2 linked regions of the Saccharomyces cerevisiae S288C genome follow. The gene in region 1 interacts genetically with each later gene. Each region holds a gene or a part of one and is shown on either strand. Other genes may lie near its edges.

Region 1 (7,952 bases):
TTAGGATTGAATCACTTACTGTTTTGTAGTACTGTTCAGCTTCATACACGGCAGGTAAACCTTGGACGCATTCGTTGGTCACAGAATAGTAGCACAATAATATAATGTACTCAAATATGGCTTGGCTAACAAGATATTGCAAATCTCCGTCTTCAAAGGATGAGGGATCAGCAATGTCCTTGCAAATATTGTATAGCAAATCAAAAGGCACCGAACAATAAGAGTCAATATTGTCAGTTTTGATTGAAATGCAGATTTTTTCAACAATTGACCTGATCAATTGTAATTGATCTTGTAACCTACTTAGTTCTTCATTTTCCTCACGTACGTCTTGAATCAATTGTTGCTGTGAATCAAATGCAACCTCTCGTAGTGATTCCTCTAATGAATGACTTATCTCTTCAAAAGATTTCAAAATACGCCTATTGATGATCATTTAAGAATATTAATTAAGGAACCTGCAATTTTGCAATAGGACTATTTTGTTGACTTTGTTGTTATTACTAAGTTTTAAAGTGGAAAAGAATTCCGACCCTTTGTTTAGTGAGTGGGGGTCAATCAAATTCGTATTCCTCGGTCAAATGAGGAGGAATGTAAAAACCGAAAATAAAGTCATCGCATAGGTACAAGAAGAATGAACTTGAGAAGTTCAAATTTCTAATTCAATTTTTTTTTTTTTCTATACATATAAATTAATAAAGTTACTCACGGTTTGAAGGTCAATCAATATATTTGTTTAGGATAGCAATAGATAAAAGAACAATAGAGAAAGAATGTAAAATACGTAAAAATATATGTACATTACTGTCGGATAATGGTTTGAATGCATGTTTGATATGTTTGCTTATGTTTGCTTATGTTTGCTTATGTTTTTATCATTACTACTACTATAATTTTTCATTATTATGCTCGATTCGTAAAATCGTTACTCTTATTCAATACTATCTATGGAATAATCCTTCTTGGATAACTTATGTCTCAAACCTTTGCCCCAGTAAGAAAATGCAAAAGGTAAAGCAATCATAGCAGTGGAGATGAAAGCCAACAACCAAGAACCCCAGTGCAGATTCAATTTGTGGTACATTTGAATGGTAAACAAGGGGAAGGCAGCACCACCGGCGGATCTTAAGAAAACCTTTGTAGCCAGAGCACTGGATGCGTATTGGACGTAGCAATCAATAATGTAATTATTCAATGAATAATAAATCAACACCATACCGAAACCAAAAGCTAAACCAGCTGAAGCTGGACCAACCCAAATAATATGTTTATAAGCGGTAGCACCCAGGATCCATAAAGCAATTGCAGCAAATGGAGCACCGATCTTAGCACCTAGCAAACGATCTTCAGGAGTAGGTTTACGCTGTTTGACAATTTGTAAATACTTGTTTTCACAGTAGAAAGTTGTGGCTAACGCCCAAAGAGCACCGATAACAATAGGAATAAACATCAAACCCACAAGGTTGTCTTTGTAGCCATATAGTTCACCGAAAATGACAGGGAAGGCAAAGAAGAACGCATATAGTAGAGAGTAAATCAAACACACGTAGAAACAAGTAGCAACTAGAACAGGTTCAGTGACAGAGAAGTACAAAGGTCTCAACAGACAAGCCCTCATCATTTCACCCATACTGACACCTTGCGCTTCCTGCTCAGTCATAATCTTGGGATTACCAGTTTCCTTTCTTAATCTAGCAGCCTTTCTCTTCAAGATAACTGGAGCGTACGTTTCTGGGATGGCAGAAGATATGATCCACATAACACCTGCAAAGGCCATATTGACCCAGAAAATCAGGTCCATACGTCCGGTAGAAACGGAAATAAAACCGTTAACTAGTGGACCAACAACGGGACCAACGTAAGGAGCAAAAGCGAAGAAAGCAATAGCCTTACCTCTTGTTTCACTTGGGAACATATCGGCAATAGACCCACCAACTAAACACAAACCAGATGATGACCAAACACCACATAAAAATCTACAAGCTAAAAGACTACCTAGATTTGGAGCTAAGGCGCAAGGGATATTGAAGATGACATAAAGACCCATAGAAACAAAGTAAGCAACTCTTCTACCGTAAAGATCACTAACAGGAGACCAAATCAAAGGACCCAGCGAGAACCCAATAACCATTAAAGAAACCGATAAAATAGCGGCTTCCATACCTACATGGTATTTCTTTTCAACGGTTCCCAACCCACCACTGATACAAGCAGACCCGTAGGCGACACAAATAACTAAGATTGACAGTAGGACAGTGTAACTCCAACGGATCCATGCAGGCCAGTTATGGGGGTTTTCTGGATCGCCAGTCACAAAGGTAACGAATTCAATTTCCGGATCTAGATCTGGAGCTTCGTCATTCGCACCACTAGAGTCGCCTTCTTTACCCTTTTCGTTATTATCACTTTCTAAAGCATCTTCATTAGAAGAAGGCGAAGAAGCGCCATCGATCTGTCTAGTTCTCGTACGGGAAATCGCAGTAGAAGTTCTACCTATGGAATGTAGAGTGGCGACAGGAACTAAACCTGTAGGGGTTTCTAAAGTATATTCTTCAGGAAAAATCTTATTCTTGCTAGATTGAGGAGCATTAACATCAGGAACGGGGGCTTTGGAGCTCACACCCATGTCCTGCAATGACTTCACGGTTTCCGTCCGGGTCAACTTCAGTTGATTAGGAGCCATGTTGGATTTAGATCCACTCTCTGAAGGGATATATTGTTGCGGCTGCTGACTTTCTACATCAGACAACGAAGATGTTTCGTCTGAATTAAACGAATTTATGGATTCCTGTCTGTTCATTTCTGTTTATCTTTGGCTAGAGGAGTACTAATGCAAAATTAAAATAATGAAGTAAGAAGGGAGAAAGTAATTAGTTATATTAGAAAACTAGACCACGAAATTTGTAGTATAATTATGGGTATGACAATTAAAGAATTAGGGTGAACGCTACCGGTGAGGACAAAAAAGGCTGAACGAAGAAGAAAAATAAAAAGAAGATTAGATCAACGCACCTAGACGAAAAAGAGCAAATACTGCTTATTGTATTCACTTTGGAGAACAGGTTGTAACAGGACAGCTGACAATTGCTAAGTTAAGTAGATTACAAAGACAAATGTTCTTAGGCGAAAAGAATATATAAACTAAAAGAAAAAGTGGAAAAAGGGTACGTGTAAAAAGAGACTAGGATGGTTGAGCAGCGAATGATTGCAAGATATATAAAAGAAACGAGCCAGTTTTACAGCGTTTAACGCAGATCCAGAATATGAACAAAATGCATTAGGAAATAAATGAAAAAAATGGCTCTATGGATCAGGGATCATCATGGCTGCCGGAAACTACGCCGTTCTGTTTTGTTTTTGTTTTTCCTTTTTCCCGTTTGGGTGAAATCAGTGAGCTGTTCCGATCCGTTGGGCGAAGACATTGCCGCAGTGACGAAGCCCGGCTAGTCCGATTGGGCTCCAGTAAACCCCTCGCCAAGCACAGAGAAGCTAGTCAGAGGCCCGCTAGACTGTACTTACTGGTCTTTAGCACACGACGACCGTACTTTGCACGTGGCTGCAGACACATTTTGTATGGAGGGAATGCTTGATTATATAAAGAGCTCTGTTTTTATGTTACCCGTCCAACGTTCTCACCCGGCTCCGCGCTATTTTTTTTTTTTTTTTTTTTTTTTTTCAGACCCACACAAAATCCGCGTAGCCGAGATTGCTTATGTATGTTATCATATTGCCTGTTTGAGATATGCAGGATCAGCATAGCATGTCTCTAACCAAATTGTGGGTCAGTCAATTATGTTGCTCTTTTGGGTATACGCTTTCACCGGATTCTCGAGAAATCGTATAATGCATGCCCCAAAGCAGTGGCCGTTCTCGGAAAAATAAAAATAGTTTATATCTCAATTTAGTTATATGGCTATGACGGAAACGACAAAATCAAATTGAAACTTAGAAAAAATAAAAAACAGCGCATTATTAAGGTTTCATGACTCCGTATTCGCTGTCCTACGTGTAAATAGGAAGAAGAAAAAAGTGAAAAAGGAAGAACCCTTCTTTTGAAGGAAAGCATAACTCGTTACTCATACGACGGATGCGAGATATACTCTCTACGTAGTTGTACTAGCCGAATGAAAAAAGAGAAAGTTCCGAATATGTAAAATTGAAATTTCTCTTCTTTATAATAGAACTAACAATTGAACTTTCCTTTTCTTTTGAAGCTACCGTCAATGACAAAGAAGGCAGCTTTGATAAAGTACTCAATAGGTAAAGCAAACTTCAATTCAGTTAGCGAATGCATTGCGTACTAGCGCGAATATTGTTATGGTTCTTAATAGTAGATCTAAGCGTCATACGGGCGCTTGTCCTTCCACCATTGAAAGATTATGATCCGTTAGAGCCTTTGATGAAAAGAGACATGGCCATGGGTCAACGGAACAGATTCAAAGTCGACGGCCAATTGCCGCCCATACTAAATTCCACAGATGTGACAGATGATCAGAGAAGTCTGCATACGCCTGGAGAGATTCCATCTTATGTCATCAATCATTGTCCCTTAGTGCACTTGTATAGCGAAGAGAAATATTGGCCATCGGACATTGCTGAGTACGTTCAAAACTTCCAAATTAAAGATAAAAACGGCAATTCTATATCCACTCATGAAAATTTGACACTGCATGACTTGAAGGCGGAATACCACGTAGATTTATTTGGCAACAAAACGGAAACGCATATCCCCAGTAGCGAGGTATTTTTAACCAGTTTGGACGATTTCGACAAGGACCCTAAATGGTTGCTCGGTCATCTACCCGAATACGGAACAGGCTACAACTCTAAGGCGCCTGCTATTCTGATCGTAGTCGACAAGGGGAACGGGTGGGTTGATGCGTTCTGGTTTTTCTTCTACCCATTCAATCATGGCCCTTTTATTATGGGCCATGGACCCTGGGGCAATCACGTCGGTGACTGGGAACACTCTTTGGTTCGGTTTTATAAAGGTATTCCAAAATATCTTTGGATGAGTGCGCATTCCAGTGGAACAGGCTACAGATACGAAGCTGTTGAGAAATTTAAGAAACTACGGAAAAGAAAACAGCAAGATAGTGACGATGGTGGGGATACTATACTGGAAAGACCGTTGATTTTTAGTGCTAGAGGCACGCATGCTAATTATGCATCCGCTGGGCAGCATGCTCATGACATTCCTTTTTTTTTCATGCCTTTGAGTGATTTTACCGATCGTGGTCCCCTGTGGGATCCATCTTTGAACTTTTACTCCTATACTTTTGATGGTAAAACTGTGACACCCTCCTCAGAGAGAGAAGAATCTCTCGGTTTGGATTGGTTGCATTTTCAAGGTGGATGGGGTGATCAACAACTACCAGCTAGAGATCCAAGACAGAAATGGTGCGTAGCTCAATGGAAGTATATCGGAGGTCCTCGTGGCCCCCTGTTTAAGAAATTGGATAGATTGAATCTATGCGGCGGTGTGAAAAAGTGGAATTTCTGGAATGGTGGCTGCCCCGCAAGAAGATTGATAAAAAAAGCAGAAGGCTTGGACTCTGAGAGCACTGATCTTATGGGTGATAATTGTGGTGTCCTACTCTATAGAATCAGACCAAAATGGCTGAGAGGAATTCTAAGATTTCTAATGTGGAGAGGTATACTCTGTTCTCTTATGGAATTTTTCACCAATTGAAGAACTTTATGACAACAGAATGTTCTGATTGTAATATAATGACAAATTTTAATCTTTAGTAATATCTAATATAATAGTTAATGATAAATAGTTAATTCTAATGTTTAATGATCTGCAAATACTTTTTATGTTTTTCAACATAGTTTTTAATGTGTTTCTACACTTGATCGCAACTAAATCTAAATAAACACACAAGCACAAAATATGATAAAAAAGCAATTTGGCTAGAAGCACAGGAACCAAATATGACGTTCAATTCAAATAGACCCTTATTTCTGGTCTTGTTCATCAGTCCCTGATGTCTTGCTCTTTCCTTCTGCAATTGATAGCGCCACACTTCTCAAAAGCAGTGGAAAAAAAAATCATTTCCCAGAAGAACGCGAGAGAACTCCATAGAAAAAAGGGAACTTTCCTACTCAAAAGAGAAAGGGAAAAATAATTGCGATATATCTTATAGCCTTTTTTTTTTTCCAACTTTCTATTTTTGTAAAAATGAAAATTTCCTTCATAAGCTACAATAAGACTACTCCATCCCTTGTTTCCTCAACGCACCGAACTCGATAGGACTGGTCGTAAAACAGAAAACTGACTAATGGCTGCCGCATGCATTTGTCAACCTAATCTTCTTGAGATTAATGTATCTGATGGACCACTGGATATGATCCGCAAGAAAAGAAAAATACAACAGCCGCAACTACGTCCACCCCTTCGAGAGAATAAATGCCAACCACACTTTTCTGTACGAAAGGTAAACCAGTCTTACATAATTTCTCTCCATAAAGAAATCACATGCCAACTCATTGCAGAAATTGTCAAACAAAAGTTATCGAGGATTTGGGAAAAAGTATACATACCATCTTATGAACTGATATCAGACAAAGACGGTAATCAAATTTATGTGGAACAGAGTGTCGACGAAAATAGGCTAACTTCTGAGATTATGGAGAAACTGGACCCCAACAATATTGATATAGAGGCGATCGAAATATTATTCGACGACTATCACCTAGAATTATCACGCTTGACAAACGGTATTATTATATCTAGTGCCAATGATCACTTTTACAGGGAATTCTCCTTCAATAACATAATTGATGACAACTTTAAAATTTGTGGAACAAGCATGTCTGCAGACAGTTTTGATAAGATTTATGGCGTTATGTGGATTGAAGTACCTTTCAATGGCAATGGCTTACAGAATGATAGCGCCGTTAATAGGGTTTCAACATCTCACAATCAGATAGAAGAATTGAATGACATAGAGCAGGAGATAAGAGCTTTTAATATTAGTCGAAGTAATCAAGAAAGTATCATCAAAAAGGAAGTATCTAGAAGATTGAATGGGCGGTAAGAAATACGGGCTACGGAATTTACCGTGTGTCTTCAAATTGAGTGTCACCCTGTAAGGCTTTCTACTCTATCACAAAATATTACATATTCTAATTCTACAATTATAGATATCAAACTTGATAAATTTAGTAGCAAATATGAAGTATTATTATGCATTTCAAAAAATTCCATTGTCCCTTCTCTTGGGCGCTTGAATTCTAAAAAAAATTAGCGCATCGCTAATAGCGCGTTTGAACCCGTCTTAAGAATGTTCATACCAGTATCAACAAGGGGTATGTTCCTCAGCATTATCTGAAGGTACTCCTCTAAATTTTTAAGTAAGAAAAGGCGTATAGTCATATAATTGTTGGGAATCCACCACTGATAAAGGTTATAATATCAGGTAAAGAAATTGTTGGAATAAAAATCCACTATCGTCTATCAACTAATAGTTATATTATCAATATATTATCATATACGGTGTTAAGATGATGACATAAGTTATGAGAAGCTGTCATCGATGTTAGAGGAAGCTGAAACGCAAGGATTGATAATGTAATAGGATCAATGAATATAAACATATAAAACGGAATGAGGAATAATCGTAATATTAGTATGTAGAAATATAGATTCCATTTTGAGGATTCCTATATCCTCGAGGAGAACTTCTAGTATATTCTGTATACCTAATATTATAGCCTTTATCAACAATGGAATCCCAACAATTATCTAATTACCCACATATATCTCATGGTAGCGCCTGTGCTTCGGTTACTTCTAAGGAAGTCCACACAAATCAAGATCCGTTAGACGTTTCAGCTTCCAAAATTCAAGAATATGATAAGGCTTCCACTAAGGCTAACTCTCAACAGACAACAACACCTGCTTCATCAGCTGTTCCAGAGAACCCCCATCATGCCTCTCCTCAACC
Region 2 (5,414 bases), on another chromosome or scaffold:
TGGACCAAAGAGGTCAGTTTCTCAGAATCCATGTCGGGGACGGTTCTAATGGAAAACTTACCGAAGACCTTAGCTGGAATGACAGTCTTTGCACCTTGAGCGGAAAAGGCGCCTTCCACACCATGAATGGACAACGAAGGATACCTCCATCTGTGCATCAAGATGTCTTCCTTCTTGTCGTACAAACTTGTCTTAGAGCCAGTTGCAGCGTTCAATTCTTCGACGCTAAATTCGATATCCTTGTATAGAGCCTTCTCCTTTTCGGTTAGAGGAGCAACCATTTCGTCAATACCGTCAATCAGGATCTTACCCTTAGAATCCACAAGGGAACCGAGAACTTGCATTAAATCGATCATTGGTTCAGCAACAACACCACCAAAGATACCAGAGTGTAAATCTGCACTTGGACCCTCAATGATGGTTTGATAGTAGTTGCAACCTCTTAGACCATAAGTCAAAACAGGCTTCTTAGTGCCTAGCCAGTAATTATCGGAAATACAAACGGCATCTACACCTTTAAAGTAACCATTAGCTTCCTTTTTAATCAATTCATCCAATTTCAAAGAACCACTTTCCTCCATTCCTTCGAAACAAGTAACTAAGTTAACGGGGAATTCTTGTCCGGAGGCTTTGAAGGCGTCCACAACGTTAATCCAAGATAATAAGGGACCAGTGTCATCGGTGACACCCCTTCCTTTCATGATACCTTTAGCCTCATCAATGACAAGCTTGAATGGCTCAGTATCCCAACCATCTTCCAATTGAGCAGGTTGCACATCATAGTGACCGTAAACCAACACAGTCTTTTTTGAAGGGTCGCTGCCGAACCTAGACAGAATCACAGGAGGTAGAGACAGATTTGGCGTAGAAATTGGTGGAGGTTGAATGCCCAGATCCACCATTTTAATGTCATGGAACCCCGATTGTGATAATTGCTCGGAGATAAACTTGGCCTTATCGAAGACTTTGGACCTTAGTGATTCATCCGAAGAAACAGCGGGGATTTGAATAGCCTTAGTCAGTCTGCTGAAGAACTGAGGCTTTAAAGAATCAATCTTTTGGAAAACGGAAGTAAGTGAGTGAGACATGCTTGTGTACGATGCTCTGGAGCAACTGAACTAACAATGAAGGGAGATTCAATTGATAAGAACAACATGTTGCTATTATAGTCTCTCTTTTTTTTTTGACACATTTTCTTGTAGCCGTTTTGAATGACGAATATAAGGGATATTGCTAAAATATGCTGTGGCATTGGTCAACTTAAAAGAATACGAATACTTATTCTAAAAGATGTGCTCGAGTATTTAACCCACCGATTGGCGCACAAAATGTGTTGTGGAGTTATCAATCACTCGAGGGATTTAATCGACTTCTTGTTTAGTTCGCCTTCGCTAGTCATAATAAAATCGACTTATTAATCCAAAAATTTCAAACTTTCTTGTCAACATAACTTCTGGAAAGGGTGTCAGAGGTTTTTCCTTCTTGCGTCTGCTGATTTTATTAGGTTGTTTAATTTAAAGGGCTTTGAACAGAAGTGGGAACTTCTTCCGCCTTATTAAGCTATTTTTCAATCGAATATAATTGAAAAAGTAATTGCTCTCACAGGTAGTCGAATCGTAAAAAAAGGGCAGTAAGAACAGCACCCGACATGGCTAACCAGGTAAGTAGTAAACTGTTTCGTTCCAAGACGCTAATGCTATTTTATTAACGCTCTCTTTTTTCTCGTTTGCAGAACTCTGACCTTTACAAGCAAATCACTGCCGGCAGTGTAGCTGCTGTGTTTCAAACGACAATGACATACCCATTTGAGTACTTAAAGACTGGTTTACAATTGCAACCGAAGGGTACCGCTTTCGAAATCATTTTACCTCAGATTAAGTCGTACTTTGTTGGCTGCTCTGCCCTAAACGTGGCCGCATTTGGTAAGACTATTTTAAGGTTCGTTACGTTCGACAAGTTATGCCACTCCCTGAATAATAACATTGATAATAATGATAATTTTCAAAGACTGACTGGTTATAACCTTTTGATCGCTGGTACGTTGACAGGAATAGTAGAAAGTTTGTTTATTATCCCTTTTGAAAACATAAAAACCACCCTTATCCAATCGGCGATGATCGATCATAAAAAATTAGAGAAGAATCAACCTGTAGTTAACGCAAAGGCAACCTTTCACAAGGTGGCGACTAAATCTACTCCTGTGGCTCGTATCGAGAAACTACTTCCAGCGGTAAAACACATGTATCAAACAAGAGGCCCTGCTGCGTTCGTCCAGGGAACAACAGCCACCATATTTAGGCAGATAGCTAACACCTCTATTCAATTTACTGCATACACAGCATTTAAACGGTTGTTACAAGCAAGAAACGACAAGGCATCCTCAGTAATAACGGGGTTAGCCACATCTTTTACACTCGTGGCAATGACTCAGCCCATTGACGTCGTAAAAACAAGGATGATGAGTCAAAATGCCAAAACTGAATATAAAAATACCTTAAATTGCATGTATAGAATATTTGTTCAAGAAGGCATGGCCACATTCTGGAAGGGCTCCATCTTTAGGTTTATGAAAGTCGGTATTTCAGGAGGCTTAACGTTCACTGTTTATGAACAGGTTAGTTTGTTACTAGGCTTCTCTTCCAGGTCTTGATAATTTTGTGGATCTTTTACTCTTTTCTGTACATAAATTGCCACTATTTAATTATTTTCTCTACGGTATCTTTTTTAGAACAAATAACTTTCAATTCTTGATTGAAGTTCTAAGGGAAGCAATTCGTGCGCGAGCTCAAACATATCATCAACGTTATTGATAATACCCATATCGATAAACGAATCTACCAATTCCTGTTTTTGTAACGTGCCGATTTTTTGTTTCAAGAAATCCATTATATTTAAAGATTCCTCCTGTATAGTAGACCACGTTTGTTTCGGCAATATTATCCTATTCTCATTCAAAAATTGCCTTGTAAGATGTTTTAGATCCATTATTTGCAGCGGTTTTATAGAAGAACGTCTCACCGCAGGGACATTTAAACGGATAGGATCGTTGCCTATATCATCCAAATTTTCGTCACTGGTGTTTTCAAACGAATAATCTTCGTTTTCTGCTTCTTCTGTCTCCTCTTTATCGTCGCTTGGTAAATCTTCAGATAGTGGTTCTTCCTGTTGCGTTATGGAAATTGGTACCGGATCACGTACTGGCGGTTCATCTACCTGATCCATTCCAATGCTTGGCGACGTGCGCAAAACTTCCATAGAGATACTGTTAGCTTTATCTGGAGAGTGCACTGTCAATTCATCCTCGTGTCCTGTCGTGGGAACATCTTGTATTATTATCGGGTCAATCTTCCTACTTTTCAAGCCTTTGTCTCTTTCCTGCAATTTTGCAAATACTGTTTGCGATAAGGAAGTATAATCAGGTTGCGTTTCATTGCCAATGTTGTTATCTGTCAGTTTCTCACTTCTGCTCCGAAGAAGCTCATTCTCCTCTGGTTGGCTCTCTTCGTACGCTAATTCATCTATTAGATTCCGTGCTTGAGTTTTATTAGTAGTTGTATCGTTGCCTTGTGATTTGCGTGCTAACACTTGGCTTAAGTCTTGTAAAAAACTTCGTACTTCGTTCGGATCTTTATTGAGGATGTCATGAGACTTAGTAGAAGCAGATAAAAGTTTTCTATAACCTGGCGTATTTCTGATCAGTACCTCATCCTTGAGACGTTGTTCTTCAAGGGCTCTCTCCCGAAAGGGGGTTCTGATCTCTGAGACTTCTGTATTCTCGTTGTTACCGGCGGCCTTCCTGGGAGTGCTCATTATTCATTTCTTATTTCGTTACTAATCGTCGTGTGTGTCATTAATCGGTAACGCGTAGCTTCTTAATCTTATTTAGAATATGTAAATAAAAAAAAGTAAAAATCGAAGCCTAAGCATTTTCAATGAGCCAGTTTCAATGAGAAATCAATCACTGGTGTGCCTTGATGAATGCTACTAGTGCTGTAAATGTCAATGTCATCGCACAAATACTCCTCGAGGTTGTCCAAATTCAAGCCTCCACTACATTCCAAGAGGAAATGCTTTTTACCATTCCATTTGTTCTTAAGACTTTGGGCGCACATTTTCAAACCGTCACCTTTGAAATTATCCAACATGATAACGTCTGCACCAGCTTCAATGGCCTCTGTGGCTTCATCTTCACTCAAACACTCCACTTCGATCTTCACAGCAAACCCGCACACGGCCCTGGCGTTCTTAACTGCGTTTGTTATAGAACCAGTAGCCCAAATATGATTATCTTTGAGCATGACCATAGAGGAAAGGTCGTATCTGTGCGTGTCGCAGCCACCTACAAGCATGGAATACTTTTCTAATCTACGTAAACCTGGTGTAGTCTTTCTTGTCCCCGCAATGGTCCCCTTGTAACCAGTCGAACGCGCCAAACTGATTATCTTATGTGAGGCGGTGGCAATTCCACTACTTCTACTAAGGATGTTCAAGGCGGTTCTTTCAGCTAATAGAATGTTTTTAGCGGGCCCAGTAATTTTAGCTACAACAATCTTACCAGAGTCATTCTTCGAAGGCTCCAAGAAGGAGCCTTCCTTAAACAACCACTCAACTTGCAATTCGCACTGATTAAAGACTTCTTGCGCAAAGGGGACACCACACAGCATACCATCCTGCTTACAGTACAAATTGGCCTCCTTTAGGTCGGAACCAACAACATATCCACCAAAATCAAAAGAAGGAACGTCCTCGCTCAGCCAATTGGTGACGTCTTGTCTCCATGCTCCATTAACGGGCAATAAGTGTTCATAAACAGGCATTTTTTTTTTTTGGTGTGTGTTCTTTCTGAGGATTGCGTTCTTTTTGTTGCGTTATTAAGTGGTGTCTTTAATTTTCGAATTTATGGCCCAAGATATACGAAAACTGCGGTAGGAGTCATGATAAATGGGGGCTCTTCAACCAACCGGCGTCACCAAAAGCAAAAATATCCTGGAGCGAAATATCACATTGTTTGTAACCAAGCTTGTACCTTTGACAAGTTAACTTACGTCTTGCCGGGGTTTGCTACTACGCATTCAAGTATATAAAACGTTGTGACACACAAGTTGATAGAAACCTCAGGATGTATAACTACAATTCTAGTTTCCATCTCATTAGTCCCAAATGACAATAAAAAAAATTACTGGCCATGGAAGATGACAAGCCGAATATTAGCTCCTTCGATCGAACTGTGCGTGGAGAAGAAGCTACTACTATTTAATAATTAGTATCCCGTGATTTTGAGCTGTCGCTGGCATTATGTACCTGACATTAGGTATTTAGGAAAGGTAGGGTAGATCAGTTTAGTACCTCAATGGGTGCGGAAGGTTAATCTTGAAAAATTTGCGATTAGTAGACAAGTTTATTCTCACAAGAAC

Evidence for each region. Genes that interact genetically often act in the same process or in processes that back each other up.
Region 2: mutations in TDA6 (region 1) and MRX20 together harm fitness more than expected from each alone (negative genetic interaction), as found in Saccharomyces cerevisiae (one large-scale study listed by BioGRID).

Annotation. Positions count from the first base shown.
Region 1 is NC_001148.4:836,978-844,929, forward strand, and holds TDA6 (Tda6p), read left to right. Parts: upstream 1-4,288; coding exon 4,289-5,692; downstream 5,693-7,952. Other genes in the region: NCA2 (Nca2p), read right to left, coding at 1-436; TPO3 (spermine transporter), read right to left, coding at 932-2,800; CUR1 (Cur1p), read left to right, coding at 6,285-7,043; YPR158W-A (gag protein), read left to right, coding at 7,732-7,952. UniProt on the Saccharomyces cerevisiae protein: Involved in vacuolar protein sorting.
Region 2 is NC_001138.5:240,350-245,763, forward strand, and holds MRX20 (Mrx20p), read left to right. Parts: upstream 1-1,648; coding exon 1,649-1,660; intron 1,661-1,732; coding exon 1,733-2,650; downstream 2,651-5,414. Other genes in the region: DUG1 (metallodipeptidase), read right to left, coding at 1-1,088; centromere-binding protein CNN1, read right to left, coding at 2,725-3,810; BNA6 (nicotinate-nucleotide diphosphorylase (carboxylating)), read right to left, coding at 3,930-4,817.